4 linked regions of the Caenorhabditis elegans genome follow. The protein of the gene in region 3 interacts with the protein of the main gene of each other region in a pairwise test. Each region holds a gene or a part of one and is shown on either strand. Other genes may lie near its edges.

Region 1 (7,759 bases), on a different chromosome or scaffold from region 3:
TGAAGCAAAACTTGATATGGAAGAAGAACAAGTTGACACTGTGGAACAGATTTTCTTGTAGCAAAATATGGGCATCCATTGGAAAGTTTTCCCTGTTTTGACACTTCAAGTGTACTTTTCAATTTGTTCGAGAGGACTCCATTCACTACATCTTCGATTTGTGTGGAATTGTAGAATTCGCATGAAGTCGCACAGGTTTTTGTCTTTTTCGTGGTTCCTTTCTCCAATTTCTGAACTTTTTCCTTTTCCGACATTCCGTTTTTTCGCAATTCCATACATTTTTCATTGATTAAATGATTTAATTTCAACTTTTTGACTTCTTCATTTACACATAATGTTCCTCGTGAGGCACATGTAACTATTCTGGGTTGAAATCTAGTTTTTGCGAGCTCCTCGGCAAGTTGCTCCAATTGAGAATGTGTTCGTGATGCGTAGAAAATCTGGAAAATTCAGAAAATTTCAAGACAGTTTGAATAAAAAATTATTGATTTTTCAGTTTTCAATTAAAAAAATTTTAATGCAGTTTTGAAAATTTACAAAAAAACCAAATTTTCATTTAAAAAAATTTGTTCGGTAAATTGAAAATTCTCCGACTTAATTTCGATTATTTTTTTCAGACAACTTTCATTAAAAAAAAAAAAGACGTATTACGGTAACACGAAACTCTGAGAATGCGTATTGGGCAACATATTTGACGCGCAAAATATCTCAAAGCGAAAACTACAGTAATCCTCTAAATTGCTGTTGTAGCTCCTGTGTCGATTTACAAAAACCTTTTATTTATTGATTTTTAAAAACGAAAAATTAAAGAAAATTGAGAGCCGTTGTAACTTTTTGAAAAGAAATTAATTTCAAAAATATTGCCCGTAAATCGACACAAGCGCTACAGTAGTCATCCAAAGGATTACTGTAGTTTTCGCGTCGGAATATTTTGCGCGTCAAATATGTTGCCCAATACGCATTCTAAGAATTTTTTGTTCCTGTAATAATATGACAGCTATATGCGACTTTTGAGATGAAAGTGCAATCGCGCTCCATAGCCAAATAAAAAATAAAAACGCTCTGCCCCCGAAACATGGGTCTCGTTAGGTATTGGCGGTAAAACCCAAGATTTTCCAATTTTTAATGATATACAGTTACTGTCACAAAAATGCTTGAAAAAGTTTGAATTGCACTTTCATTTGGCTATGGAGCGCGATTGCACTTTCCGAAATATTGAAATAAATTCTGTACTTTCAGACATTTCAGTGGCTTCTCCTCTTCTTCATCGACATCATCGAAAAAATCGGAATCCCGCTGTTTCTCACTTTTCTCGTCGTTATTGTATTCTTCCGATGGGGCGGCTTCCTGGAAATTTTATTTTGAATTTTGATATTTCTGTATTATTTCTATAATAGAAACTTCTAGAATAACATTTTCTTGAAAACCTGGCATATTCAATTTATGAAACTTCAAATTTGTAGCGACTACTGTGGCTGGGATCGTGGCGAGACCCACTCAGAAAACAGCGTGCGCCTTTAAAGTGAGGCATCAAGTGTCTATTCTATGTATTACTATGTAACTATTCTATTGTGTATCTATTCATATTGTGGAATCTATTCTATATCTATCTTGCTATATAATACTGTTAACATTTTTTCACATTTCTCAAAAAATTAGCAATACTGAAGGTTTGTATTTAAAAATTTGGAATTTTTGCGTATTTCAAGGTTTTTCCAGAAAAAAAAAGCCAGGTTCTAGTCAGAAATCTTGAAATTTTCCGAAAAAACGGTCAGCCACATGTGAATTTCCGGATAAAAGTTCAATTATTACATCTTGAGGTTCGAGAAACTGATCCGTATCCCTGGCCGGGGCTTTTCTCTTTCTGGAGACCTCGACCATTCCTCGCCGGGCTTGATCGATTCGTGACTGCAATCTGAATGATTTTTTTCATTTAAAAAAAAATTAAAAAAGAATAATTATTCAATTTCCAACACCTTTCCCGACTCTGAATTTGCTCCAAAATCTCCGTCTCTACGTCTTGAGCTCGCATTTTCTCACGAACTGCCGTCTCCCAATTGTCGGCGGTGGTGATTTTATCGCATTCCGTGATTTTCGTGTGAACCTCCCCGAGCCGTGTGCTCAAATCAGTCGAAATTCGTAGTTCTTCAGCTTCCAGCCACGTCATCGTCGAGCACAACACGCTGAGCGACTTTCCGGTGCCTGTTGGAGATTCGAAAATGCCAATTTTCCGTTGTTCAATGCATTGGCGGATTTCTCGCATCAAATTGAGTTGAATGTCGTATGGTTGAAATGGAAATGAGAATTCGTCCATTCTGCTGGGATAGAGTGAGAGATCATTTATTTCGGTGAGTTTTTTTTTTGTAATTGAAGAATAATATATAAGAAGATAAAAATATATTCGGGATTTTCAACTGGGAATTCGATTTTTAGCTGAGAGTTTAGAGAGCGGAAAAATTCATGAAACATTCACAATAAGTCAAATAGGACCCAAAGCGATTTTCACGCCAAAAATACGGTGCCTGGTCTCGCAACGAAACATGTTTGTTAAACGCGAAAATTTGTGCGCCTTTAAAGAGTACTGTAGCTTCAAACTTTTGCTATTGCGGATTTTCGTCGATTTTTCGTAGATCACAATCAAAACCCAAAAAAACTTTAACAAATGCTGGGAAAAACTATGAAAACCTGATAAAAATCGTTAAAGGCGCACACTTTTTCGCATTTATCATACATTTTTCTCTTCGAGACCGGATACCGTACTTTTGGCGCAAAATTTCGCGTATGGGTAATAACGGCAAGGGAATTTTGCAAATTTACAGCAAATTTAGACGAATTTCGTGGTAATTAGCTTTAAAAAAAATACAAAAATCCCACATGTAATTTCAAATTAAAATAAGATACAGATACAACGATTAAAAAATGCTTGGATGCTGCTCAATTCGATCAATAGTTTTTTGATAGGCCTCCATAAGCCGATCATAATTCTGTGAGAGCGTCGAGAACTTGGTTTCCTCATCCATTTGTCCACAGGCCGCTTGTCGAAGCTCATCGGGTGTCAACGCGAGATTCAGACGCTTCCAGTCCTGATCCGATTTCTTCATTGGTGCATACAACCGACGTTTCACATCGATTCTCTGCGCTTTCAGCTCTTCTTTATCCTTCTTATTTGTAGCACGATAACGCAAAATTTCATAGACTCGACGGGCTTGTTGTCTGGAAATCTTGAGCTTTTCCAGTGCGGCCTGACGCATTTTGTCCGAGTATCCCCTCTTGAGATTCTCCGGTGCAAATTCCCGCAGTGTCATGCAGTTGACACAATCCACATAGTCACGGAGGCTGACGAACTGATCTCCGGGAGACTCGACGGTTACGTCGAAAACTTCTGGAGAGGCACGAAGATCTCGCAGGAAAGATTCCATGAAACTGGCTCCAATTCCAGATTTTCTGTATTGAGGGAGCAATAGCATCTGTGCAATTCGTGGACGGATCCTGTCAATGTAGTTGTAGAATTTGAAGAGTGTCGCGTAGCCAGCCACGTTGGCCACAGTACTTCCATCTCCTTCACCGGTGTCGCAGCGTTCGTAGCTGGAAAATTGAAAAATATTTGAAATGCGTTCGATTTTTTGTAATTTCTGGAATTCGCCGCGAAATCTTCTCAACTTACATAAAATAGTGAAGCCAATTGTCTTCAGTGTTATCTGTCAGTGAGCAGCACTCGATGAAGCTGAAAAAAAAATTTTGTAGGAAAATCCTTATTTTTTAAGCACTCACAACATGCCGAGAGTCTGGATTCTTTCTAGGAAAAGGTTGAACTCTTCGGTTTGCTCGGCGACTTTGTAGACCTCGTAGCTCTTTCCTTTCAGCTCAAACTTGTGTACCATCTCACCGAAAGGCTTGAAATCCTTCTGTTTGATGAGCTTCTGCTGGAATTCTTCTTTTCCCGAAACCAGAACATTCGGACGAACGTCTGGATGAACCAGCTTATCAATGACGTCATCGGCCTCCAGTCCGTTTTCGTTTTTCGCTTTTGAGGAATAGCTCACGTTTATGTAGCTGTAGAGGGTTTGAGCTGTGTGATGGATGGTAACCTCGAGATCTTCGTAGCCGAAGATTGTCTCCTCATCTCCGAAATGCTGATAGACCATCTCTGGTTCGTAGCGTGGCGCAGTACTGATTTCTTGCATGTTTTTTACTGAAAAATGGGAACTTTCAAGCGAAAATTCGGTTAAACTCTTACAAAATGTCATTTTAACGACAGCAAGTCCGTCGGAAATGTATCTCCGATTGCGATTGACATTCGTGACGTCCTCCATAACCATGCTGAAACTGTTAAAGAGTTGAAAACGCCATTGAACCTTGAAAATCGCGAAACAAGACGATATTTAATCAATTTATTTACCGATTTTGCGTGGAAAATGAGAAAAAATGAAGGAATTCCGACGAAAATAAAAGAATAAAATTTAAAAAAGTTTCCCGCGGGCTTTCTCACTTCGTAAATCGACACAAAAGTGTCTCTTCGCGGCGAGACCCGTTGACTTTCGCAACCTCTCATAAGAGATGGCGTTCTCTCCGACTGTCTGAGTGTCGCGCGTCTCTCACGGCCACACACTCTCTCGTCGCGCTTTTTTCGAAATACGCCGTGCGAGTTGGCACGTTGCCAGGGATCTTCTGATGGATCCGTGCTGTTTTTCACGCCTCCGGGTGAATTTTTATCGATTTTTCAGAAATTTTTCGCTTATCTCCCGGAATTTTCATCCCAAAACGGATAAATTGATTGATCAAGTTGATTCGTGAAGTTTAGTTGCATCATAAAAATTATAAACAAACAAAAATATCGAATTTCAAGCGTTTTCCCCGTAAAATGTCTCATTTTTATTGTGAAAAATGGCGCAAAACCGCATTATTTTGCTCTAATTGCCCGGGTTTCGCGGTTTTCTCACGATAATTAGATAAAAAAGAGTTAATTTCCATAGTTCGGCGGATTTTCGAGAATTTTTGTTGTTTTGTTCAATTAAAACTTTGTTAAAATCAGAAATTAAGTTTTTTAAAACTCGTTGTGAGATTTTTCATCGCAAAATTTATAAATTTTTCCTATTTATATAAAAGTTTTGCTATTTTACCATTTTTCCGTTATATTTTTGTTGAAAACAACCAAATTTCATTGGAATTTTTTGAAAAATATCAAAAAGAATTGGTTTTTTCAACGGTTTTAATGTAAAAATATTTTTTTTCAATCGAATTTTCTCTCACAAATCCGCTCAAAATTGTCAAAAATCATTTTTAAAAAATCGAATTTTCAGAAGATTCCAAGCAACAAGTTGATGGGAAGACCATCAAATAATGCATGAGCGTTCGACAAGAACAGGTAAATTAAATTCCACTGAAAATTTCTGAAATTTCACGGATTTTCCATGTGAAATGTCCTCTAATCCATATCAGAATTGAAGGAAAACCTCGGACCAACAACGTTTTCAAATACGAGCAACATCAGCAGAAGTATCCCATCGGATTGTATGGTGATAATAGGTGGCACAATTCCTGCCTCACATCACTCGTTCCCTGGTATGGAACATGATCGTTCATTGTTCGATGCGTCGTCTTCTTCTTCAAATGGAGGAGGATTATCGCAATTTGTTGAGCAACGTGATACAAATGACGATGAACGAGAGATTGAGGTAAAAAATTGGCGTTTTTTAACCCTAGAAACTGGATTTCTAACTGATTTTGTGGAGAAATAAAATAAAAATTAAATTTTAAGTTAGTTTTGTTGAAAAAATGGATTAAAAAAGGTTTTAATCTAATTTTGTCCAAAAAATCTAAAAACATGATTTCCAACCAATTTTGTCAAAAAAAAAGAATTTTAAAAATGATTTTAACCTAATTTCTCGATAAAATGTATCAAAACATGATTTTAATTTAATTTAGTCGAAAAAATATATTAGAAACATGTTTTGAAACTAATTTTTCCATTAAATAGATTTTTAAAAACGATTTTGTAAAAAAAACTTATTAAAAACATGTATGAATGCACATTTTAATCGATTTTCCTATTGTTTTTCTCAATTTCTCAATTTTCAGGCCGCCGCTGCAGCGTCAGAAGCTCAACTAAAGTCATCATTTGTCGCATCGACGTCTGTCGGTGTTCCAACCAGTCAAACACTCTCTCCGTTACACATAAATGTCAACGAGTACACGAAGCCGAATTTGGTGAGTTTTTTGTGAAAAATCTCGAAAACTTGCTCAATTTCAGCTTTTTAGGCGACTTCTCTTGAAAAACTATGAAAAAATTCATAATTTTCCAACAATATCTGTAAAAATAGATTAAAATTGAATATTTGATAATTTTTTTCGGAGAAAATTTTAAAAATTGCGAAAATTCATGGAAAACCTGTAGAATTTTAAAAATCGAGGTTTTTAATAATAAAAATGACTGAAACTCTGAAAATTTCATTATTTTCTGTAGATATCTGCACGAATAGGTTAAAAAAAGGATTTTTCTTGATTTTTAGAGTAAAAACGTTGACAAATTTCGACATTTTCATGATGAAAATTGAATTTCGAAGTTTTTGGTGAAAATCATTTAAAAAATGGCTGAAAAAATATCAAGAGAATACCTGAGAAATCCTTTTTTTTAAATTAAAGCCGTATTTCAAAATTTAAACCGGCTGTTCGTGAATTCTCATTAATTTCCAGACCTCAACAAATTTCCGCGACTCTGAACAACCATCAAGCAATGGATCCCACGGCGGTACAACAGCACGAAAAAAACCTTATCCACAACCGACAATTCGTGTGGCTCAGCGAGCACCAATTATCATGGGACCGCCGAGTAACACGAATACGCAGGTGCTGTTGAGTCCTGCTGGAAATTTGCATAATGGATATCAGTGAGTTTTTTTTTTCAAAAAAAAAATAGCCGTTTTGTTGCGGAAATGTTTAAAAAAGTGCCAAAAGTGTCGACAGTAATTTCAAAAAAAATTTTGATTTTTTGGAAAAGCTTTCGATTTTCTATATTTTACATTAAATTCCACAAAATCCGCTGATTTCTGAAAAAATGTGGTTTTAAGAAATTTTATAGCAAAAAAAAACAATTTCATACTGGTTTCCGCGCATTTTTAAAAAGCATTTTCCACTTCTTGAGAATTAAAATCTACCAAAAATGATCGAAAATTCTTAAACGTGTAGAATTATGAGTTTAATCTGCGATTTTCTGAAATTTTACAATAAATTTCATAAAAACTACCGGCCTCTGTGAAGCTTCTTGAATTTTCTAATACGAGAAAAAAAACCCAAAGGCTGCGAAAATTGTGTCAATTTTTGCAGGAGAATGTCATCTGGAGACTCTGCACCATCATCACCAAGCCTAATGGGTCGCAACAAATCCAACAGTCAATTCACGAATCCCTTATCCTTCCGAAATCTTCCTCCTGGAGCTCAACGAGCCCCGAACACATCGACAAGTCGACCGCCGAGCTCGTTAGCTTCTCCATTGGGTGGAAGCGGTCGAAAGGATCACGAGATGACGCGACGACGAGCTCTGGTGGATAGAATAATAAAGTCTCGTGGACCGGATTATGTGCATTTACTACCACAAACTGAAGGTCTCTCGCATACACAGACATCGATATTACTCAGGAAGCATCGAGGAACACTTCACACTGAGGGAATGCCATTTTCAATGCAAACGTTGATAGAATGCTCTTCGGAGCCCGATAGAACTCGGGAAACATTTGTGAAAAGGATTAGAGATTTGAATCAG
Region 2 (10,134 bases), on a different chromosome or scaffold from region 3:
ATTGGAGCACAGAAACGTCACGATTACAAAAAAAACTAAAAATTTAAATTTTCCATGGAAATCGATTTTTTGTTCAAAAACAAGAATTTAAATTCATTTTTCTTTTTTGTTGCAAAATTGCATTTTAAATCATAATTTTGAGCTAAAAACTCACTTTACATTGGATTCGTTCCGTTTTTTTTCTATTTTTTTCCTTTTGAAGTATCCAAAATTTGATTTTCCTGTAAAAAATTCAATTTTAAAGGAGAAAAAACACATTTTTCAGTTAAAAAACCATTTTTGTCGATGGAGCGCACTTACTGACTTAACTTTTTTTACCTCAGAGAAGCAGAAATGCGAAACTTTTCGTACAAAAAGTGAACTAAAATATCGAAAAACGCAGGGAATAAATTATTTTTATAACTTTAGAATTTAAAATTTTCAAAATTAAATCATATTTCTAGATTTTTGCGTCTCGAAACGACTTTTAACCTTTTAGCTTCCATAAACTCTCGAAATCGGGGAACACGGAATCACAAACTAATTCGACAAAATGAGAGTTTTTAAAAGGAAAGGAGTTTTTTTTTGGCCTTTTTTAAAACAATATTCGGTTACGTTTACCTATTAGAAGAATATTCATACAAAATCCCGACTGACCAAATTACGCAGGAATCAGGCAAGAAGCCGACTGGATTTGATACTTGCCTAAGGTGATATTTATACTCCCTTTTTATCAGCAAAATTTTTTTTTTTGTAAATAATTGAGTGTCGATTTTGTACTGAGGAAACGCGCCAGCACTAAAAGTTCGGTAAATTTGGCAAATCGGCGAATTGCCAGTTTGCCGGTTTGCTGGAAATTTTTAATTCCGGCAATTTATCGATTTGCCGGAAATTTTCAATTCCGGCAATCTATCGATTTGCCGGAAATTTTCAATTCCGGCAATCTATCGATTTGCCGGAAATTTTCAATTCCGGCAATTTATCGATTTGCCGGAAATTTCAATTCCGGCAATTTGTCGATTTGCCGGAAATTTACAAATTCGGCAATTTGCTGGTTTGCCAGAAAATTTCCATTCCGAAAAATTGCCGGTTTGCCTAACTTGCCAGAAAATTTCCATTCCGAAAAATTGCCGGTTTGCCTAACTTGTCAGAAAATTTCCATTCCGAAAAATTGCCTGTTTGCCAAACTTGCCAGAAAATTTCCATTCCGAAAAATTGCCGGTTTGCCAAACTTGCCAGAAAATTTCCATTCCGAAAAATTGCCGGTTCACCTAACTTGTCAGAAAATTTCCATTCCGAAAAATTGCCGGTTTGCCTAACTTGCCAGAAAATTCAATTATGGCAATGTTGCGATTATCGTTTTGAAATTCTGAAATTTCCAGAAAATAAACTTGCAAACCCACAACTTGCCGAAGTGTTTTTTTCCGGCAAATTGCCGATTTGCCGCACTTGCCGGAAATTTTCCTTTCCGTCAAATTGCCGAATTGCCGGAAATTTCAATTCCGGCAATTTGTCGATTTGCCGGAAATTTACAAATTCGGCAATTTGCTGGTTTGACAGAAAATTTCCATTCCGAAAAATTGCCGGTTTGCCTAACTTGTCAGAAAATATCCAGTCCGGCAAATTGCCGGTTCGCCGAACTTGCCGGAAATGTTCCATTCCGGCAAAAATATTTAGACTACAAGGAGAATAAATGAATAAGAACACATTTTCAAAAAGTACAACCATCGGATAAATTCCATAATTTATTTAACAACAGATTCTTTATCATCATTATCATTTTGTAACAAACACAAATTATCAGCAACAAAACGGCACAGCTCTTCCAAATCCAAAGTTTTATTGTTTTTAATTAGTTGATCTAACATGTCTTTAGGAATTGAGGTGACTAGGGGAGCAGCTTTTGGTACCGTTTGCTTAACATATTCGTCTGCCAACTCGGCAAGTTTTGTCTCACGATGATGCTCCTGTAATAAGTTATTTTTAAAAAAATATTCTGGAAAAATTTACAATTTTATTGGGAAATTCTAAAAAATGAACTAAAATTACATGATTCGTCTCGAAATAAAATTTTTTTCAACTAGAACTTTAGGCTAATTTAGGCCAATTTTTGAGCATTCTCCCCAATGTTTCAGTTAACGGGATTTTCTTCATTTTGACTGTTTCAGGTAAGAATTTATATAAACGAACATGTTCATGTGCAGATATTTGATACAAATGCTGTCTCCACTCCATTTGCTGCTTTGCTCGGATTTTTCGGGAACCTAAAGTCCCAATTACTCCGTTTTTTAGACGTAGGTCTTCAGCAGCTTTTTCAAATTCTTCTCGAGCACTGGCGAGCCTCTATAATTTGGTTAATAATTTTAAAATTGACTTTTCAAAAGAAAAAGTCGGAAATTCAGAAATTCCACAAAAAAAGTTTAAAAACGGGATTTACAAACTAAGGAGAACTCCCCGACCAATCACCATCTTTGAACTACGCCCACTCGATCTGATTGGTGGAAAAGTGGGCGGAGCAAATCGCTGATTGGTCGCAGTTCTCAGTTTTGCATTTTTGAAAAAACTCAAACTAAAGTAGGACTTTTTTATTTATTCGCTATTTTTTTGACAAATCGGCAAATCGGCAAATTGAAAAATTCCGGCAAATCGGCAAATTGAAAATTTTCGGCAAAACGGCAAATTGAAAAATTCCGGCAAACCGGCAAATTGAAAATTTCCGGCAAATCGGCAAATTGAAAACTTCCGGCAAATCGGCAAACTGATGGAATTGAAAATTTCCGGCAAATCGGCAAATTGCAGGAATTGAAAAATTTCCAGCAATTCGACAAATCAACAAATTGCCGGTATTGAAAGTTTCCGGCAAATCGGCATATTGCCGGAATTTATAATTTCTGGCAAATCGGAAAATTGCCGTTATTGAAAATTCCCGGCAAATCGGCAAATTGCCGGAATTGAAAAATTCCGGCAAATCGGTAAATTGAAAATTTCCGCAAATCGTCAAACTTCAGGAGTTGAAAATTTCCGGCAAATCGACAAATTGCCGGAATTGAAAATTTCTGGCAAATCGGCTAACCGGCAAAATAAATTTTCGGCAAATTGGTCACTTTTTTTTTGAAATTTAGAGAAAAAACCTACATGAAAATTCAAATTAACAGTTTCATCCTGTGCAAACATTTCAGCAAACTTCTTATTCAATTCCATTTTCTCATTTTCATATTCCAATTTCAGCCGTTCTACTCCAATTTCTGACATCATTTTTCTCAAATCCACTGCAAAATTCGCATTTTTCTCTTTTATCGCCGTTTTATTTTTGAGAAGTTGAATGCGTTTTTTGATTTGATTACTTCGAATTTCCGCATGCTTTCGTTGATCTTTTTTCTTTTGAACACACTTTCGGGCGTACTCACGGTTTTTGGCCATTTGACGGTGACGTTCCTGAATAATTTGGATTTAAAATTGATATTCTTGCCAAAGTTGAAATTTCCGGCAAATTGGCAAATTGCCGATATTGAAATTTCCAGCAAATCGGCATTTTTTGTCGAAAATCAAAATTCCGGCAAATCGGCAGTTTTTTGCCGAAAATCAAAATTCCGGCAGATCGGCAGTTTTATTGCGGAAAAGCAAAATTTCCGGCAAATCGGCATTTTTTTTTTGCTGAAAATCAAATTTTCCGGCAAATTTTTTTCGGGCAAAATTGGGAAATCGAAAAATTGCCGGAATTGAAAATTTCCGGCAAATCGGCAAATTGATGGAATTGAAAATTTCCGGCAAATCGGCAAAATCGATGGAATTGAAAATTTCCGGCAAATCGGTAAGTTTCAGGAATTGAAAACTTCCAGCAAATCGGCAAATCAGCAAACTGCCGGAATTTAAAGCTTCCGGCAAATCGGAAAATCGGTACATTTTCGGAATTGAAAACTTCCGGCAAACGGCAAATCGGCAGTTTTTTTTTGCCGGAAATCATAATTTTTTGCAAATCGGCAAACCATCAATTTGCCGATTTGCCAAATTCGTCGACAAAAAAATTTGCTGAGCCCCAATTGCTATCCTGATTTGAGTGAGGCTTTTCAGAAAAATTTGGAAATTATTTTCAGATATAACAAATCTTTTTCTACACTACAAAAAATAGGCGTTAGGCGGGCATGTACATCTAACCTAAATTTTGTACTAGAAGTTGTAAAAAATCCACACAAACCTGTTCTCTCTTGTCCATCTTACTCGGATCTTTATTCAATTTCTTAAATTCCTCTTCCCACTCCAAATCCCCATCTGTATCCATCTTTGAGTAGCCTTCATTGTAATTATTATCAGTGTACTCATCTTCTATATCATCCAACATCTTCGCCTCTACTTCTTGTTTTATCTCCACTGGACCCATGTTTTGCAGTTGGCTCATTAAAAAGTTGAATACAAAGTTCTGGGAGCCTGACGATTCATTGTTATCTGACGACTCGTGTTCCAGCTTTACCGAATTCTGGTTGTTTTGCGTGGAGTCAAAGTGTTTTAGAATCATGTCACGACTGCCACTTGTTTCGTTATTCATTCTGTAAAATTTGGAATTTTTTGGTCTTGTCTGAAACTTTCGGGCCAGGCCCAATTGTGCATTTTAAAAAATTTTTCGCATCGTCTTTCGCTTATTGGTTCCTCGTCTTTCGCTTATTGGTTCGCGACTGTTTTTGTAACGAACTTATGAGAAAGTTTGCTGATTCTTATCAAAACACTAATTTTGCCGATTTGCCAGAAATTTTGATTTTCGGCAAATTGCCGATTTGCCAGAAATTTTAAAAGGGATTTTTCAACATTAATGTAGGAAAAAAGTTTGCCGATTAAAATTGAAATTTTGAAATTTCCAAAAAAAAAGTGCAAAATCATAATTTGCCAAACATTTTCGGCAAAAGGCGTTTTTCCGGAAATTTCGGCAAATCGACAGTTTGCCGCTTTTCCGATTTGGCGGAAATTTTTAATTCCTGCAATTTGCGGATTTGCCCGATTTGCCGGAAATTTCAATTCCGGCAATTTACCGATCTTCCGGAAATTTTAATTCCGGCAATTTGCCGATTTTCCGGAAATTTTCAGTTCCGGCATTTTGCCGATTTGCCGGAAATTTTTAATTCCGGCAATTTACCGGTAATTTTTAGGTCCGGCAATTTGCCGATTTGTCCGATCATCCGGGAATTTTAATTCCGGCATTTTACCGATTTAAAGGAAATTTCAATTCCGGCAATTTTCCGATTTGCCGGAAATTTTAATTCCGGCAATTTGCCGATATGCCCGATTTGCCGGAAATAGTTAATTCCGGCAATTTGCCAATTTACCGGAATTTTTTAATTCCGGCAATTTACCGGTAATTTTTAGGTCCGGCAATTTGCCGATTTGTCCGATCATCCGGGAATTTTAATTCCGGCATTTTACCGATTTAAAGGAAATTTCAGTTTCGACATATTGCTGATTTTCCGGAAGTTTTCAATTCCGGCAATTTGCCGATATGCCCGATTTGCCGGAAATAGTTAATTCCGGCAATTTTCCGATTTGCCGGAAATTTTAATTCCGGCAATTTGCCGATATGCCCGATTTGCCGGAAATAGTTAATTCCGGCAATTTTCCGATTTGCCGGAAATTTTTAATTCCGGCAATTTGCCGATATGCCCGATTTGCCGGAAATAGTTAATTCCGGCAATTTGCCAATTTACCGGAAATTTTTAATTCCGGCAATTTGCCGATTTGCCGGTAATTTTTTATTCCGGCAAATTGCCGACTTGCCGATTTCGCCAAACGACAATTGCCACCCACCCTGTTTTGGACGCGAGATATACATACACGTCGCCAGCAACCGGCAATTGCCAAAGTTTCTGCAACCGGCAGCTTCTGGTTGCGGAAACTTCGGAACTTCGGCAATTTGGCCCCTAATGTAAGAGCCCTGATGCCCATCGTGAACTCACTGATGCATTCAGGAATCTACAGTAATCATCAAGGGCGGAGCTTGATCCTTCCATATTTTCCTAACCAAAATTTCAAAACATACCTATCCCCAGTTCCTTAGATTCAAAATCGTCGTTGTCAGTCAAAAAAAAGGCAAGAGACCAATGGTGGGGGAGACAGTGTGTGTGTGTGTGTGTGTGTGATAAGAGAACACAACTTCTTGCTAAGAAGAGTGAAGACAGTGAATGCATGATGTTTGCCTGCATCATGACATCGTTTGATTGTATTGAATAGAGGAGGAGGGCAGCATCAAAAAAATGAGAAATAGTCAGAGGAAAGATGTGAGAGCCTTAGAGAAAACAGAGTAGGAAATACTGTGCGACATACTTGGTATCTGAGCAGTGGTTGAGACAGTGGGGGGGGGGGGGGACAGTGAAGGTGATTAGCAAGATTGATAAGAGACTGTTGATGGGGGATGGGCACTGATTGCTGTAATTTCCAATACATCGCAATTGTACATTCGATGGATGTAAATGCAATTGACAGATTAATTAGGTATTATATTGTATAAAAATGGGTTGGAAAGGCATATCAAAAGCTGAAAAAAGGTATCTATAGAAACCCATTCCAAAACCAAATTTCAGAAGCATCACGTGGTGCTAGGCTGTCCCATTACGGTTTGATCTACAAAAAATGCGGGAATTTTTCGCCCAAAAATATGTGACGTCAGCACGTTCTTAACCATGCAAAATCAGTTGAGAACTCTGCGTCTCTTTCCCCGCAATTTTTGTAGATCAAACCGAAATGGGACGCAATGAAGCATTACAATGAAGCATTACAGCGAAAAATGAAAGATAAATCTTTCCAGGACATGTAGCAAAAGCGGTTCTGTGGCTCGAGAAAGGTTTGAAAAAATGAAGAACAATGTATTCTTGAGCAGAATCCATGTAATATTTTGGTAGTTGAAACCCTGATTTTAGAATTTATCCAAATGAATTCTCGGAATTTTCAGTTTTAATAATATAATTCATTAGATTCACAGTGAAGTGAAACCTGATTAAAAAAGGATTAAAGGACGAAATATAATTTTTGTCTGAAGCCTACAGGAAAAATGTTTCATTGTTGAAGTGGAAATTTTCATTTTCGACAATTTGCCGGTTTGCCGGAAATTTTTGTTTTAGACAAATTGCCGATTTGTCGGAAACGTTCAGTTCCGGCAATTTGCCGATTTGCCGGAAATTTTCAGTTACGACAATTTGCCGATTTTCCAGGAATTTTCAGTTCCGGCAATTTTCTGATTTGCCAAAAAAAAATTACGGCAATTTGCCGAGTTGCCATTTGCCGGATATCAGATTTGCCGGAAATTTTTAGAGGGGTTTTTTTAAAGACGGAAACACTTAAAACTGTGCCTTTTTGAAAAATTCGTTTCCTGTTATGTTTAGATATTTTCATAGAACTTGCTTTTTTATTTTGACAAAAATTTCCGGCTATTGCAGTTTTTCAATCCGGCAAATAGACGATTTGCCAATTTGCCGATATGCTGTAAATTTTCAAATCCGGCAATTGCCGTTTTTCTGGCCAATTCGGCAAAAAGACATTTTGCCGATTTGCCGATTTGCCGGAAATTTTTAATTCCAGCAACTTGCCGATTTGAAATGTGTTTTCCAAGTCTACATTTAATGATAAAGTATAGAAAAGTATTTGATTTGATTGAAAACAACTATAATTTGGATTGGAAAAACTGAAAAAGTGCTGAAAGTTTATCTGGAAGTTGAAACTGCTCGAAAAAAAATGTAAACCTTTAAAAAAATTTTCGAGGACTTTTCAGTTTTTTAAATTTAAAGGGTGAAGTAATCTTTAGTAGTAGGAAAACTAGTTTTCAAAATCTTTCGTTTTAATAGGAATTTCAATATTTTATAGATTGACCAACCTAAAAAAGCTTTTTTTCATCAAGTTTTATTATCATATTGCATCCAGTTTTCCAGTTTTTTTTCTAGAATTCACTAAATTTATCAAAAATAGCGGCCCATGCAAATTTCCGGAAAATCGGCAAGTTGTCGGAATTGAAAATGTCCGTCAAATCGGCAAACCGGCGAATTGCCGATTTGCCAGAAAAACGGCCAAATTGTGGTTTAGCAAATTTTGTTTTGGAAATTTCAGAATTTCAATTTTGATTGGCAAAATTGTACACACCCTAGAAATGACCCTTCATCTATTTTGGAAAGTCCGTAAATTCTATGAATATATCTGAAGAAAATGGGAAACAATTCTTTAAGGCACGGTTTTAAGTGTTTCCTTCTTATAAAAAATCCCTCTACACACTTCCGGCAAATTCATATTACGGCAAATTGTCAAACCGGCAAATTGCCGGAATTGGAAATGCCCGGCAAATTGGTAAATCGGCAAATTGCACCTGTGAAAATCCTGAAGTTTCTGAACTTGTATGTTCACTTTTCTACTCAACTCACTGCCCATTCCAAATGCAAGTAACAAGTTGATGCCCCAACAAATGTGATAATATGATACCTAACTGATAAAAGTTGAGAAACAATTTCTCTGCTTGTCTGTCACACAATAATCACCGCGTCTTTTGCCCCAGTCTTTCCTGCTAAGATAGACATGTTTGTCCGTTTTTATGTGGTGAAAGTACATGTTTAATCAAGAGACACAGACATTCTAGACGTGATGATAAGTCAATGACGTGTCACTGTGTATAGAAGGAGTCTTCTGAGCAGTTTCGTTCATGATGGCAGAGCAACGGAATTGATATTGTTGAACGAAATGCACAAAAGGGTCGGAAAACTGAGTTGCATCATGGTTTGAGAGTATGAAGGAATTTTCAGATTTTTAGGAAAAAAGTAACTCCAAATTGAAATTACATTAATTTGAAAAAACATGAAATTTTAATTTCCAAAAAATCAGCCAAGTTATAGCGTTTTAAAACTGTCTAAAAACTGTTTTTTCAAACAAAAAAAATTAAGGTGGAGTAGCACCTAGGGCTCCCACGGTAGGCAGGCGCGGTTTTACGGCCTGACGCCTGCCTATCGGCAAATTGCCGGTTTGCCAATTTGCCGGAAATTTTCAATTCCGGCGATTTGCCGATTTACCAATTTGCCGGGCATTTTCAATTCCGAAAATTTGCCGTTTGCCGAAGTTCAATTTGCCGGAAGCTTTTAAAGGGATTTGTTTAAAAGACTTAAAACTGTGCTTTTTTTGAAATTTTTTTCCCATCTTCTTCAGATATTTTCATAGAATTTACTGACTTTTCAAACTAGATGTATGAACATCCATAGGATGCGTGCAATTTTTCCGATAAAAATTGAAATTCTGTAATTTCCAAAAAAAAAAGTGCAAAGTCACAATTTGGCCCTTTTTCCGACAAATCGGCAATTCGCCGGTTTGTCGATTTGCCGGATATTTCCAATTCCAGCAATTTGCCGATTTACCAATTTGCCGGGCATTTTCAATCCCGGAAATTTGCCGATTTATCAAAAATTTTCAATTCCGGCAACTTGCAAATTGCCGAATTTGCCGGAAAGTTCAATTCCGGCAAGTTGTCCATTTACCAATTTGCCGGAAATTTCAATTCCGGCAACTTGCAGATTTACCTATTTTCCGGAAATTTAAATTCCGGCAATTTGCCGATTTGCCGATTTTCCGGAAATTTTCAATTCCAGCAACTTGCTGATTTGCCAATTTGCCGGGCACTTTCATTTCAGACAATTTGCCGATTTTCCGGAAATTTTCAATTTCGGCAACTTGCCGATTTACCAATTTGCCGGGCATTTTCAATTCCGGCAACTTTCCGATTTTCCGGAAATTTTCAATTGGAATAATTACCACTTTTTGAAACGAAATAAATTTTTTTTTGTTTTTTGGGCACAATTAAAGGGGCTTTTAATAATTTTCCCACTGGTTTAACTTAAAGAAAGTGAAAAAAAACATATTACACAGCTGTAAGGCTTTTTTCAAATTTGAAGAAAATACTTCTATTGATCTACAAATTTTGAACAAAAATTCCAATATTAAATTTCTTTGAAATTTGTATATGTTTTCCACTGATATAAACTATTTTGTTTTACTGTTCGTACAGATTTTTTTTTGACAATTTCAAAACTTTCGTAACATGGCAGAACCTGCTCTGCCGCTGCTCCCTTTTTTGGAAAATTAAAAAAACTAATCCTAGTTTCCTAAATTCATTAAAGTTCATCAAGCAGGGAAAAACTATAAATTTTA
Region 3 (7,502 bases):
GTAAATTCGTGTTCAATTTCGTTCTTTCCGAAAAACAATGTTGAATTCAATCGTCGACTGAATTTCTGATTTTTTTTTCTGAAAAGATATCACATTTTCTATTAATTCTAAGTAGTCTGAACCAGCTGGGCGACAATTCCAATTTCGCTATTTTGACAGTTAAACAATTGCGGAAAATACTGAGTTATCGAAAGTTCATCAATTCATCAATTTCCAAAAATGCCGATTGCTGGGAAATTGAAAATTCTCTAAAAATGTTCATATCCAAGAAGAAAATCTGAAAATCTGTAAATTTTTATAAGTTAATATACAAAGAAAAATTAGATAAATCTTTTGCCACAAAAACTTCACTGCTGTACGAATTAAATTTTCTTTCATTTGTAGATTTTTTTCAAAATATTTTAAATGTGCACAAGACATTTGGCCAAATTTTTAACTTGATCAATGTCGATCAATATATTTGCCGAAAATGTTCTTTTGCCGCCCATCCTGGTCTGAACTTAAAAATGTTTGCGCAAATTTGCCTCTAAGTTTTTTTTCTAGTAAATTGGAGAATAAAAATTCGCAAAAAGATCTCAATCACCTCATAGGCAACAATTGCAAAAATATCCGTTCAATAATTCTTTATGCAAATACTGAACAGTTAAGATAATTTCATCATTTCAATATCTCGACTTTGCTTCACAAAAGAACAATCAATAATTCGACGGCAAGCTGACAAATCAGCCATCTATCCATCTGTCCGTCTGTCCACACAAAAACATACAAATCGAGTATGCGGAGGAGGAGTCTATGTTCTTTCCCTCAACTCTCTGCTTCTCTCATCTTCTCTTCCCTCTCATCTCGGCCCGTACAGCTGCATCAAAGACTCTCAAACATCGGCGCGGCGCGGGCGCACGCTAAATAAAAGGGGGAAAAGGTAGTGAAACGACACGTGGAGACGCAGAACAAGCAGCGGGTACCGTAGTCGCGCAGACCTGCGAATCACCGATTTGTCCGCTGTATATAAAGGAGGGAAGAACGCGAGGTCTGCGTGTGATCGGCCAGCGCCTTTCTGCTCCTATTCTCCGTTTTTCCCCCTTCTATCTCCTCTTTATACACTATTTCCCTTAGATTCTCTCGTCTCCTCACCGAAGCGCTCAATCACTCGTCTTTACGCGCTCTCCTCCAGTCCTGGCCAGTAGATGTGTAAGTGTGTGTGTGTGCGTTGACATCGAATCGAATCGACACGACGCAGAATGGAATAAATGGCGTTATCATTAAAGAATGAAATAACCAAAATGAAAGCGAGAAATAGAAAAAAGGAAGATACCATCACGCCTCTTTTTTGTTATCAATTGTTGTACTGATGTGATGATCTATATTGTTATAGTGATCGATGAGACCCGAACGGCTGTGTACATACAGAACATATAGAACATAACACACTTGTTGCGAAACGGAGTTGCTCTAACGGGAAATGAAATATAACAAAATCTAATTATCTGAATCCCTTTGTTACTGAGCACAGAATATTTTAATAATTCCAATCAATATCAAATAGTGACCATTAATTTTAGAAAAAAAAGTTTGCGTTGATTATTCATGGGCTCTAAATGTCTTTTCCAAAGTTGTTAAGAGAGCTTCTATGAATGAAACATCATGTCCTTCTTTCATGGTTCAATAATCTCTCATTTCATCGCTTTACCTCAAGAGTATTATACAGTAGCTTCCAACTTTCAGTTAGTCTCAGGCCCATCATCGATGACGTCTTCGGAATAGTTCTATATCTCTCGAAAACCACCCGTTGTTCGTTCTTTCTCTCTCTCATTTTGTGCCTCCAAATCTCCACAACATCGTCTTCTCTCGTCAGCAACGTTTCCGTCGGAGACACTGACACTTTTGGAAGGAAACCAGAGAATACATATTTCGAGAGAGGAGAAAACAAGATGGATCAGAATAGAGGAAGCGATGTTGGCTTTGCGGTGCCGATGTTACCCGTCAATTATGCATCGGCTACTCGTTAGTTTTGACCTTATCTTTTAGGGTGGATGGAACAAAAAAGAAACTCGATTATAGATAATCGGAAAACGTACATTCATAAAATCTTAAAATGAAAGCTTATTTATTTTCAAAAACCCTTAATTTGTTTTGGGTAAAACCGTCAGTATCCGGCATCATTTCTGGATCATGAACTATCTAGAAACTTCAAAAAATATGCGACTTAAAACAATTTGTAGATGTAATATCTAAGAATTAACAGATTAGGATCAAATCGTTATTTAAATTTATTTTTCAGAAAAAATGTCAACGTTGGCATCCACTTCATCAGCCGGTGCTTCATCATCAACAGGTAGCAGCAACCAACAGCAGCAACAGGCAGCTGCTGTGATCCGAAGACGTCGTTTCAGCACTGCAAAAATTCAGCCAACACGCATAAAGAAGGTTATGCAAAGTGATGAGGATATCGGAAGAATGGTTCAGTCAGTTCCTGTCAGCATCGGAAGAGCAATGGAGCATTTTGCGGAGAAGTTTTTACAGGTGAGAAGACTCAGTCATAGTTATTTTGAACCTTGAATATATATTTGAGGCTGCCGCAGAAGCTACTCAATTCACATCTTCAAAGACGCTAAACCCTCAACACATGAAGCAGGCGGTTCTCAACACTCCACACTTTTCATTTCTAGAATCAGTCTTCAAAGATGTTGCACTTCCACAGCAAGCATCTGAATTGAATACTGCACGTACCGGCATGACATTGAGAGGACAGCAAATGCTCCAAGAGCAACAAAATTCAGATTTTGCTAGTGCAATTCTTGCCAATGCGCAGATGCAAATGATGCAAATGGATCAACAAGCATTGAAACAAGAAGATGGAACTATTTCTCCTTATTTAGTTGATCCGCAATCCCCAGCAGCACCACTTCCACTTTATCTTCAAGGGATTCCATCCAATTATCCAGTAGTTCAAGAACTCACAGCCACCGTACCACTTTCTCCTAGCACTCCGACAACTCAACTCGTAAATGGTATGCTAGGAATGCTCAAATACTCGAAAAAAGATTCTGAAGGACAACGTCTCACAGGATTAAAACGAGCATCTACTGATGGTGATGGAGAAGACAGACCAAAGCGAGGACGCCCAAAGAAGTTAAAACCTGAAAAATGTATTGATGATGATCTCTACGAGGAAGCTTCTAGGAATATAGCCAAGGTAATATTTGAAAAGTTTAGACATAGAATCAAAATGTTCTAAAGATGTAATTTGATTTACGGTTCTGTGATCCTTTTGATCTAAAGCAAAATTATCATTTTCAGGAAGACAAGGATCGCGAGTTGATGCCTCCTCCAGCACTGCCTATTGGCCGTCCGTGATCCTCACTTCTCTATGAGAAATTTTATTCTTCTCCTAATCGTGTACTTTTCAATGGTCTCGTTGCCCTCCATTTCTGATCTAAATTTCTCCTTTTCTATTGCTCCAAGTTAAGAAAAAAAAAACAAATCCTCACCGGGTCTACCCTATTCTCTATTTCTCTTGTTTTATTCATTTTTTGTCGTTCACTGGCAAATCAAAATTTAATCACTTCGATGTTCTCCCAATATGAACCATTACCGACCCACACCTTCATAAATCAGGATGCTCGTCGCTTTTCATTAAACCTTCCAAATGTTCTCTGTCATATGTTTAACTTGTTTTGCTCTTTGTCTCTCTAATTCAATTTTTCTCTTCATTTTTATATTTGTCATGCTTTAGAATTCAATTTCCGTTTTTGTAGTATTTAATATAAAAATTATTCAACCAGAAAACGTATATTTCCGACAGAAAAGACCACTAAACTCGCGCAACAACTAGAGCGATCTACATTATATTAGTATTCAGCTAAATTATGGATCTGAGCGAAGATGAAGATTTATTAAACATTGAAGAAGAAGGGGAAAATGAGAGCCAAAAAGAAGAAGTAGATTCTGTAATTGTTGGTTTGTAATATTTTGTCCAATTTAAACAAAAAAGGAAGTTCAGAAGATATTCGACGTCGTCTTTTCGATGTATTCAAGATGTTTGACGAGGATTCTGATGGTTTGATTGAAGTGAGGATTACTGTAGTTACTGTTGAAACTTGGCTTTTCACGTGGTGCTTTTCTCCAACTTTCTACTCATTTATATCATTAAGAACCGGATCAAATAGACATTCCACCTAGTGTAGGCGTCACGGGGAGCCTATTCCCGCCTTCCCACTCGCCTTCCTCGCGCCCTTCAGTAGGGTGAGTGAAGAGGCGAACACGCCTCGAGTGCATGAAGTTATTTTTCATACTTCATAAACTCTTAAATGTTTCTCCTGGCTCTTCCAATTAGTAGGAGCGTCGTCAATATAAAAGTTGTACCTATAGCTGAAAATTTCTTATTGATATTCGTTGAAAACTCAATTTGCATCTCTATAGGTTTTCTTTGTTTTCGATATTCTAGTATTGTTTTGGTTATTTTTATTGTAACAGTTTAGAGATTCAAACCCGCGCCAATGCATGAAATATCTCAAAAAGTTCACATTTTTTGAAAAATTTGGTAAAAACTGACTCAAATTTTTCAAAAGTCGAAATACTTTTTGGAGAGTTTTATTATGATATTCGGCTATTATGGACCTCCACTGAATCTTTTAAATCCACTGAATCTTTAAAATGTCTCCACTGAATCTTTTAAATCTTTCTTAAACTGAAATTCCAGACCGACGATGTGAGTCACGTTCTCCGAAGCTTTGGATTGAACCCCAGTCAAACGGAATTGCAATTGGTCAGTGAACAAACTGCAAAGAAAAATGGAAGAGTTTCATTCGATGACCTTCTGCCCCGTGTCGTATTGGCAATTCAAAATGAAGAATGGAAAGATGATACTCCGAAACAAATCCATGCTGCATTTCAAGTAATAACATCTAATAATTATGTTCAAAAAGATACATTATTGCAATTGCTCACTTCAATTGGAGAACCATTGACTCCACAAGAAGTTAAGCAATTTCTGAATCATGTCAGCATTCGAGCAAATGGAGATATTGACTGGGTTTCGTATGTTAAAGACACTTGCGAAATGATTACTTCTAGAGATTAAATCTTTAATTTTAGTTGTAAGGATTATCACTTTTTTTTTTGGAAAATTTCTATAAATCTTCATAAACGTGGATGCCTTCAACCATCCCAACTTTGTTGGAAACTAAAGCCAAGAGAGCAAATTTTCCAGAAAATTAAGATATGTACGTTTCAAATCTTGCGTACCGTCTGAATTTAGTTGCAAACCCTTTGGACATGGCCTTGTTCTCAGAAAAATAACATTTTCACAGACCCACTTACACTTCTAGTTATAACCTTGTGACACACTTTCTTTTGGATCACTGGTAATCGTAACTTTATGATGAGTTGAACAACTTTCCATATCAAAACTAGACATGAATAAAAGTGATTCAACGATGTACCTTAGGGCGTTGACGATCAAATTATCATTACCTACGGATAATCAGTATCTATTATAATACGAATATGTCTTTTCGGTGATGGAAATGTCTGAAAATCGTTTAATATGTTGCAGACGGATAATTTTAAACAATACAAGAAGCTAACTCGTCAATGTTTTAAATACATCGTGAGCCCGTTGTCCCCAGAATTTCAGGCCGTGCGTGACTGCAAAGTTTTCAAAACCACAATTGCACATATCAGCCCTCCTTTTTGTTGGGCCTCTAAAGAGCATGACAACTTTATTTGTTAAGCAAAAAATTACCAATTAGTTTGTGTTCTACAGGGGAGCAACACAAAGGTTTTTTGGCACTAAAGATCCTTCAAGGTTATAATTGCCACGTTTTCAGAAAGACTAACAGCAAATTGAAACACGGACTACTCGTGTGTTATTTATCAGATCAACTGCAATCATTGCATAGTTCAAAAATCTCTACATATAAACCACTTTTCTAATTAGAAAAAAAATCGGTGCAATCTCTCAAAACTGGACACGGACTGTTTTTATTTAAATACATTTTATGCCAAGAAATATAAATAAAATAATATAAATTACTTTTCCTAAATGTTCCTCAATTTATATATTCTTAGTCGTTTTGGTCTAAACTCTCTGGTCATTTAGAGCAACTTAAAATAAAATATCTACACATATTACAGTCGATCTTGGTGCAAATAGGGAGAAAATCCAATTCATATTTAGACCCATTCATCAATATTTCAGTCTGTTCGGTTATCAGTTGATGCACAGCGTTCTATAAATAATCCGTGATAAGCCTCTAGCTCATTGTCACATTAAAAAACGGCGTCGAAATTTGAAGAATTCGATGATAACTCCATTTGACGGGAAATAGTGTGTAGTATGGTTAAAAGTTCAAGTTTTGTACGGGTATGATGACAATATATTTTTCTTTGAAAGGTTATAGTAAAATCATCGAAAATTCAATTCTTTGGAGGTCAGTATTGTTGACGATGACTTGAAATAGGAATTAAAGTAACAAACTAGAAATAATAAAGCTATCGAAAAATTAGTCAAAATGGTCAAAATGAGTTGACCAGCAAATTTGGAGCATAGAAAAAAGCAAATCAATTAAATAACTGAAACTAAAAAAGTGTAGCTTTTCTGCAATATTAAAAAAATATTATGCAGGCTGGTCGCAAAAAAACTGTTAAAAAAATGTAAGGAAGATATTTTTCTAACTTTGGATTTTAAATTGGTGTCATCTTTTCATCCTACATATTTACCATGTTAAAAAAACAAGTTCCAAGTTAGTTTCAGTAAAAAAAACATCAACGTATTCCAAAAAAAATTGTTGTACACAATGTATTAGCTGAATTTCAAAATGTTTAAATCTTTGTCTTTAATACCAAATCATTATGATTTTAAATACTTCCCCGCACGTTTTGTCTGTCATTTATGTCGTTCAATTGTTTCTCATTGTCGTTATGTTTGTGCTTTGCTCAACGAGCCAGCCTTTTCCGGTGCCAGTATCTTCTTACCGATTATATCAGCTTAACTCATTTTCCATTAAAAATTGTTTGAAAAGGAACTTCTTTTCTAATGACGTAAAGACTCTAAACCGCTTGACCTAAAACACTGTTCTATTTCACACTTTTAGTACGCAGATCACAAACCAATTCCACACATTCCATTCTAGAAAAAAAATTGTTTCTCTCACTCCGAGGCTATTAATATTTAATATAAATTTGCACCACCTATAGGTGTGGTAAGAAGTCATTTGATTATGCTTTTTCAGTTGCGCCCTCTTGATTATCACTAAGGTACAATTGGCAGCAAACCGCCTCACTTTTTCCCAACAATACGAGACACTTATCATCATGATAATGAGCGTTAAGTCAGAGCCCCGCCTCCACGTTTTGCATTTGAAACTATTTCTGAAGGTTTTCAAATCAGAAGATTCTGAAGTCGAGAACGAAGATGGTGTCACCATACGAAGAGGATTCCAGGCCACCATATATGTCTTCTTACGCAGTAAGTTTCATACTTATTAACTGATAATTTATAG
Region 4 (7,516 bases), on a different chromosome or scaffold from region 3:
GAGCACAATGTTCAACAAGCTTTGGGTGTAGGTAGGTATGAGGTAGGCCTGTCCATTAGGAAAGTATCAGTGTTCATTACGTCTACGCCGATGTTATATGGCACCTGCCGATTTGATCAGGGCTTGAATATTAGAAGCTAATTTTGTACTTTTTGTCTAAAATGGTTCTAATTATTTATTAAAATACCTTGGGTAGAATATCGAAGAGCCCAACTGGTCTCATGTCTCGCCGGAAAACGCGTCCTTTAGTTACTTGCGATCATATTTTTATGCTATTCGAGTTCCTTTTATGCTATTCGAGAGCTATTCGAGGAGCTACTCTTCTATTTTGGCTCTGATTATTTTTTGTCACTGTTAGAATTTCTATAGGCACGACTGACGACCGCTTTTTTCCCGGAAAACGCCCCACGTAAATTTGCACGCATACTTTTGGTTGGGAGCCAGTGGGGCGAGGATCCTCCCCTTCACGTAACACCTCAGTCTTCCGAGTAGGAACAAAATCGCAAAACTTTCGTGGTAAGACCACCGGCACCCCATAAACATTTATTAAGTAACACACACACAATTAATGCGTTCCTTCCCACTGCCAATCTTCTTATCAGAAAGATGAAATGACCGTCTCAACCGAGCCTGTGTGTCTATTTGTGTGTGGCCTTTGTAATAGTTACCACCTAGCTGATAACCGAGAAAGTTGGATTACCTCATGATTCCCTCATAAATTTGCCGACAGGTTCTTTAACGAAAACATATTTGTCTTTTGATTGTCTATTCTCTATTTACAAATTGATAATTGGGAGAATGCCACCCAGAATTAGTCGATTTAAAATTGAGTATGATCTACATAGATCTGAGTAGTGGTTGATCACAATGATATAATTATTATATATTAGTATCATTTTCTCTTTCTCTCTCTCTCTAAATTCACCCTGTCATCAGTGATGATTCTCAGTTTCGAGCGGCGGAGGGGCGAGCGTGTGGGCGGAGCCGCGTGTCCAATGAGCGTGGGGCGGGGCGGTCCAATTACCGGTGTTTTCTTTCGTTTATTCGCTTTTTGTGACTATGACACCAAAACGGAAGAATCAGTGGATCAGGCAAAAATATTATTATTAGAACTAATAGTTGGATTTAGGTTGGGTATCATTCTGTACCTATTTCACCTGATTTCTTGTGCTTCACTTGATCTTTGTCTTTATTATTATTGTTATTATTGTTGTTGTGCTCCTTGTTGTGCTCCTTATAAATCCCGTAAACTCTAAATCTAAATTGTTATCTAATACTTTTTATTGGTTACCAATAATATTACTTCTGCCAAAAGAGGCAAAACGCCGCGTTTCAAAAAATGAAAATTTTTATCTGTTGTTCATCACTGTCAAATTTATGATTATTAATATTTCTCACCATTCAAATTAAAACTTTTGCTTCAAAACTACATAAAACATTCAAAAACTTGAAACAAATTTTATTCGATTTTTGCAAGTTTTTTATTTAAAAAAAATTATACCGTATTTTCCCTAGCATTCATTTTGCTCATATCTCGGTTGTCCCAAGTTTTATCAAAAAAATTTTAACTGTCATAATGTAGAAAAATAATTTTTCCATAGTTTGTAAGTTGACAATTTTTTGATAGAACCAGAGAGAATCGAGATATAAGCTGTCAAAGAAGAGCAAGGTGCATGCAAGTCAAATAGGAAAATAGTGGGTTTTCCGGTTTACAAATTCGCATAGTTTTGAATTTTTTACAGAGTTTTCACCATTTTAGAGAATTGCTCACATTTTCTGAATTTTTTTTTCAAAAAATTAACTGGTACCTAAATTGAAATTTAAATATTTTGAGCAGAAGAGGTGAAACTCTTTTTTTAAATTTTTTAATTGCTTCTCATATTGATACTATTCTCTTTTTGTGCCAAAACTTCTAATCAATGCCCCGCTCCTTTCAAATCCTAAAGTTCCACTTAAAAACTGAAGAATCAAAAATCTTGAAACCTGTACTGTATGTACTCTTCCAAAAAACCACCTCCGTGCTTTTCATCATTTACAACTTGTCTCCCAGTCCTCGTCCGCAACTTGCTTTTGATATATTTTTTTCGACTTCTTCATTTCAACACATACCTACACACACAAAAAAAGTTTGCGCTAACACATGTCCGCCCGTCATAAATCTACAGTAATCTCGGAGCTTTCTTTCTCTCTCCTGATGCTCCCACACCACTCTGTCATTTTTCAATTGTTCTTCTCTTGGAAGCTCATCTCTCGTTTTCATTTGATCCTGCTAGAAGACACTTGATATGTTGTTTGTGTTAACTAAGATAACTGATATTGTTGAAAGTGATAGCTTTGCTTTGCTTTTCAACTTTTCGTGTTCCTCCTGCTCTTTTTTTTGACAGCTTACTAGTACCGAGTTCGGACCCCTGCATAGTACTACAAATATTATATTAATATGAGAATGATATACCCTTATTATCCCCCCACGTACTCTTGAGAATCATTAGTATGTTTCAATGTTTCGCCAACAATGGATTGGTATCATCTGCCCTTACCTACCGTACTCCCTCAAGTGCTCCCTCATCCATGATTACCGTACTCCCCTACTCTCCTCCCCCTTCTATCCGATTATAACATTTTTATTAATAATTATTATTGTCTGGTGTCTCGCGATGCCATCTCTATCTTACGATTTCGCTTTGAATTTTGATAACGCTATGAAAATATTAGCTTTTCTTATCTTTTTTATGTTTTACTTTTTTTCATAATTTTTTCATCAACTTACTTGCAGAAACTAACTAGGTAGACACCGGTAACAATGCTCTTTTCCATGGAATCAATTCTATCAAGTACCAAGCCAAAACTGGAGCCACCTCCGAAGCTAGAGCCGGAAGTGACAATCAATGAGCAAGTGGTTGATCTGCCGCGGAGCAACACACGGCTCTCCGAGCCATCAACTTCTGCGTCGGTTCTTGAACATGATTTGAAGTTTGGGGAGTCCCGAAAAAGAAGTCGGTCTCTTGGAGACGAGCCCACGGAAGATGAAGACGGCGTTCCAGTTCGGAAGGCAAACAAAAGAAATCATTCAACTTCAAGTGCTGCAGATAGCTCATCTGATGATGCGAAGGATGATGACGACGATGATGATTCTACATCGTAAGTTGGGAACTTGGGAAAAACTTAGGAATCTTAGAAGAAATTCGATTTTTCTCGACCTCGACCTTTTAGGTCCTTTTATACAAAAAGTTTGTATGCTCAATTTTTGTGAAACTTTGATCTCCGATATTTTTAAGTCTATTAGACATTGTTCAACTACCGTATTTTCCCTGTATGACTTGCATTCTCTTTACTCTAACTTGACGGTTTATATCTCGGTTGTCCTAAATCTTACCAAAAAAGTTTAACTGTAAAAATGTAGAGATATATTTACATGCATTTTGTCAGTTGACAATTTTTGATGAGACCAATAAAAACCTAGATATTGGCTGTCAAAGTAGAGAAATAGGTAGAGCAATATACCTATAATATGTACAGTGATATGTACAATAATATGTACTGTGTAAAACAACTGTAACTCTATAATTTTGCAGTCGAAAATCAATGTCTGGTCACCGAAAGAGCAGTCACGCAAAGCCACCGTACTCCTACATTGCACTCATCGCGATGTCAATTCTCAATTCACCGGAGAAGAAACTGACACTTTCGGAAATTTGCGAGTTCATAATCAATAAGTTCGAGTATTACAAGGAGAAGTTCCCCGCCTGGCAGAACTCGATTCGTCACAACCTAAGCCTCAACGACTGTTTTGTGAAGGTGGCTCGGGGGCCTGGGAATCCGGGAAAAGGAAACTATTGGGCGCTGGATCCGAACTGTGAGGATATGTTCGACAATGGATCGTTTCTGCGCAGAAGGAAGAGGTAAGGGGAGCACAGGAGAAAGTATTACAACCTGACGGGGAGTAGTAGCCGGCGGCGGGGTGAGCACACATACGAGATGTGAAGAGAGGGAAAAGACAGTTGTTTCGATAATTTGTCACCAATTTGTTGTCATTAATCGCACCCTCGAGGGTAGTGGAGAAGCCTGGGAAAAGAAAACTTTCGGGGTTAACAAGGGAATTAGTGAGATAAATTTTCAATTCAAACACTTAATAATTTCAGATACAAGAAAAACAGTGACACATATCACGAAATGATGTCCCATCATCCGATGCCATTCCCTCCATTCCTCCCGCAAGGAATGCCCTTTCCTCCAAGAATGATGCACCCGATGGCTAACATTCCCATGCTGGGACATCCAATGAATCCAAGAGCAGTTCCAAACATGCCAGCGTTCTTCATTCCACAAAATATTGATAGCCAGAAGCTCTTGTCAATGATGGCTTCGAGAATAATGCCAATGGATGCTCCAGTCAGCTCTGGCCAGAAGAGAACTTCATCGAGCTCCTCACCAAATGAGAATGGATCTTCGGCAGTTTCAGATAAACTGAGCGCTTAGAAGAACACTCAATTTCCTTGTTTAATTTTTAACAATTGTTTCCTATTTGCTTAACCTTTTCTAGTCTCTTGTTCCTTTTCCGTTCCCCTTCAATTCCTTTCAGCATTCTTCATTTCCCCTGATCTCAATCGTGCAATCAATAATCAATTTTTTGTTAATCCTCCTGCACGTGGTACCACAACTTCATTTCTTCAACTGATCTTCCCTTTTCTTTTTTTTCTTTGTTTCATTATCTGTGAAAGAGCTTATGTCGTAAATAATTCGAAAATATATATGTCCATCGTCAGCATTTTTGAAGTTAAAATCACATTAATCAATTGAGCAAACAGTAAGATGAAAGGAGACCGCAGAAGCTGCTGAGCCGATTAAAAGACTGAAATTGATAAGGGAGGGAAGTGACAAGACTGCTGCAGAGTTACTAGTCTGCAAAATGTCATGAATCCAACAAAAAATCAGGGTTCAGAAGACTAGGTTTTTAGTAGAAAACATACCGAATTTTTCAATTAGTCTTGCACCAAATTTGCTCTACTTTGGCAGCTCATATCTCGGTTGTCTTCAATTTTAACAAAACATTTTCAACTGTAAAATCATAGAAACATATATGAAAAATATTTCTACTGTTGAAATTTTCGTGATAAAACCAAAAGCAGCCGAGATAAGAGATCTGAAAGTAGAGCAGAAGGGGTGCAGTACTAATAGGAAAAGTACCGTAACTTACCTTTTCCTAACTTTTCTAAATTAGATGGATATATAACTGGACGCGAATATTAGCCACAGACAGAGTTCCTCAGCCTCCAAGAGTCCTCATTTTTCCATATAACCTGGCTCCTTTGGACTAGATAGAATTTCTAAAAAGACGACCTATGCCTACTTTTCTGTGAATAAAAACCATTAAAACCATAATTTAAATCAACATAAAGCTACTTGTTGTTTGGGCAAATAATGATACTAACAATTAAATGAACATTTTGAAAACTATGCTAAGATTATTCAAATGTTATCCTAATTACCAAAACCCTAGTTTAACTCGGTGACTTTTTGAACTCCCGCCAAACCATATAATTATCTCAAGCATGTCGTCTTCATTTCTATCCTAATTAGATACCCATACATAGTGTATATATGTATATTCAAACTATACAAAACGGATATTGCTTATCAAATTCATTCATCAGTTTGCCACGTCAAATCAAATTATCGAGAAGTGTGTGTGGGGGTGCAGTTTCACCTTATGCCACCTCATGTTTCGTTTGACGGCACATGGTGACAGGCCCGATGAGATTTTGAACCGTTTAATTGATACTAATCGGTATCTTAGGTTGTATTAATGTAATTACAAATACCGTATTTTTTAATGGTATGCACCTAACTAGTTAGAGTTATCAATTGTATTGGACCAACGAAAAAAGCCGATACAAGCTTTCAAAGTCAAACAATTGGGTGTAATGCTAATAGAAAAAATAAGATAGTTAGGAAAAAGGTGTTGCCAAAATATAGGAGCCTCTGCTACAGTAACCCGTGTTTAAAAGTGCCAATATCCTAATTATCTCATACAATGCAAAACTCTCCATCACCACCTGCAACTACTCCGCTCATATACAAAACAAGGATTATTTCAAGTAGGTTGAGCATAAAGATGTGAGTACGATAAGTACCGGACAATAGCCAGCCAAAAAAGGCTAACCGCCAAGAGTATTTCCATACAAAATGTGCGTCGGCTAATCCGCAAATTATAAGGTGCGACATACACAAGTCGTCGAGGTGGCGCAACTTAAAGATTCATCTGATACTGGGCAGTGAGAGAGCGTGTGAAGTGTTATAGACGCAGACGCCAAGGACATGGAGTAAGTGAGCAGATTGTTATGCAACCGAGCATTTGAATACCATCTTGTTAGGTAATGGACCCATCGAGACATATATACATACATAAACTTGTAACACCTTCTGTTGGCAAGGGTGAACACATAAAATTTGTGTCTGTGTTTGTGGAGGACATTTGGGGGTAATCAGTAGCAGAACAAGGAGTTAGTGGGGAGGAAAGTGATCGGGTAGCACAATTTGTTATCAGTTTTGATACAGTACACTCGTTTTAGCACTGGTTTGTTAGTTTACGTGGTGGCCATTGTTTATTCGCAATGCCAAAATTATGATTGGGAGTTGATAGATTGACCTGCTACTATAGTTATTTCAGAGATTTTTACCTGTGTGATTAAAGGCGAATAGATCTTTTCTGGATTTTGTTAAAATTTCAGTCTACCATAACTTTTTCCACGATAAAATATTCCTTACAGACCGATTTGTCTGTTAATAGCGTTATGAAGGATGGCAGGCACGTTATCCTAATGGCTCAAGCCTGCCTGCCTACGTGCCTGATGGTTTTTTGCATTTAGGTGGGAACTACGGCATTTGAAGATCACATAGTGACCTTTATATCAACATGCTGAAAATTCAATTGGAAAATTTTTACGCGGAAATTGGTAGTAGGTACACGAGGCAGGTACAATATCAAAAAAAGGGATAGAGTTATTTATAAGTCTTAGAGCTTGGCCCTTTTTTCCTAGGCCCAAAATAGGCCAACCCGCCTGCCTACATGTCTGGCTAGGCCTACTAGGTCGCCAAGAAGTTCAAAATGATTTTGCTGGCGCTCTGCCAATTTCTGATATCATATTACCGTATCAATATAATCAAATCTCCTACGTTTCAAAAACCAAATTGTAGTATCAGCAGGTTTTTTTGTATCTAAAGTCTCGATTAATAACAATTAGGTGTACCCTACACAAACATTCTCAGGTTTTGCGTCGCCTACAGTAATCCTCCAATGCTTCTTCTTCTTCTCACAAATGGGGTCGTGTTGTCATGAATCAAAAACAACAAACACAGCAGCAAGAAAGAGTGAAACTTCTCTACATTCAACCAGATCATAGGCCAGGCGACACTAATTTAATTAGCGTCATCATCATCCCTCATCATCGCTTTCCAAATTTGCGATCCGATATCGCGTTGCGTTTTTCGCAACTTCTTCGTCTTCTTATTCTCCCGC

Evidence for each region.
Region 1: the proteins of drap-1 (region 3) and hat-1 interact in a two-hybrid assay, tested with the Caenorhabditis elegans proteins (one large-scale study listed by BioGRID).
Region 2: the proteins of drap-1 (region 3) and zip-12 interact in a two-hybrid assay, tested with the Caenorhabditis elegans proteins (one large-scale study listed by BioGRID).
Region 4: the proteins of drap-1 (region 3) and unc-130 interact in a two-hybrid assay, tested with the Caenorhabditis elegans proteins (one large-scale study listed by BioGRID).

The regions. Positions count from the first base shown.
Region 1 is NC_003281.10:10,402,923-10,410,681, forward strand, and holds hat-1 (Histone acetyltransferase type B catalytic subunit), read right to left. Parts: upstream 4,327-7,759; 5' UTR 4,320-4,326; coding exon 4,238-4,319; intron 4,193-4,237; coding exon 3,772-4,192; intron 3,725-3,771; coding exon 3,665-3,724; intron 3,586-3,664; coding exon 2,913-3,585; 3' UTR 2,326-2,912; downstream 1-2,325. Other genes in the region: ATP-dependent DNA helicase chl-1, read right to left, coding at 1-440, 1,234-1,347, 1,813-1,915, 1,977-2,314; M03C11.3 (PH domain-containing protein), read left to right, coding at 5,341-5,365, 5,440-5,675, 6,079-6,207, 6,694-6,887, 7,324-7,759.
Region 2 is NC_003281.10:12,323,853-12,333,986, reverse strand, and holds zip-12 (BZIP domain-containing protein), read right to left. Parts: upstream 6,321-10,134; 5' UTR 6,041-6,320; coding exon of another isoform or gene 6,002-6,040; intron 4,524-6,001; 5' UTR 4,523-4,523; coding exon 4,175-4,522; intron 3,415-4,174; coding exon 3,115-3,414; intron 2,323-3,114; coding exon 2,170-2,322; intron 1,947-2,169; coding exon 1,725-1,946; 3' UTR 1,713-1,724; downstream 1-1,712.
Region 3 is NC_003283.11:9,730,237-9,737,738, forward strand, and holds drap-1 (Transcription factor CBF/NF-Y/archaeal histone domain-containing protein), read left to right. Parts: upstream 1-1,722; 5' UTR 1,723-1,928; coding exon 1,929-2,001; intron 2,002-2,278; coding exon 2,279-2,520; intron 2,521-2,569; coding exon 2,570-3,193; intron 3,194-3,297; coding exon 3,298-3,354; 3' UTR 3,355-3,786; downstream 3,787-7,502. Other genes in the region: cal-7 (EF-hand domain-containing protein), read left to right, coding at 3,867-3,957, 4,001-4,068, 4,700-5,080; aqp-4 (Aquaporin), read left to right, coding at 7,415-7,468.
Region 4 is NC_003280.10:11,279,195-11,286,710, forward strand, and holds unc-130 (Forkhead box protein unc-130), read left to right. Parts: upstream 1-2,771; 5' UTR 2,772-2,800; coding exon 2,801-3,138; intron 3,139-3,572; coding exon 3,573-3,899; intron 3,900-4,139; coding exon 4,140-4,476; 3' UTR 4,477-4,765; downstream 4,766-7,516. UniProt on the Caenorhabditis elegans protein: Probable transcription factor. Binds to DNA sequence motif 5'-CTGTTTCA-3'.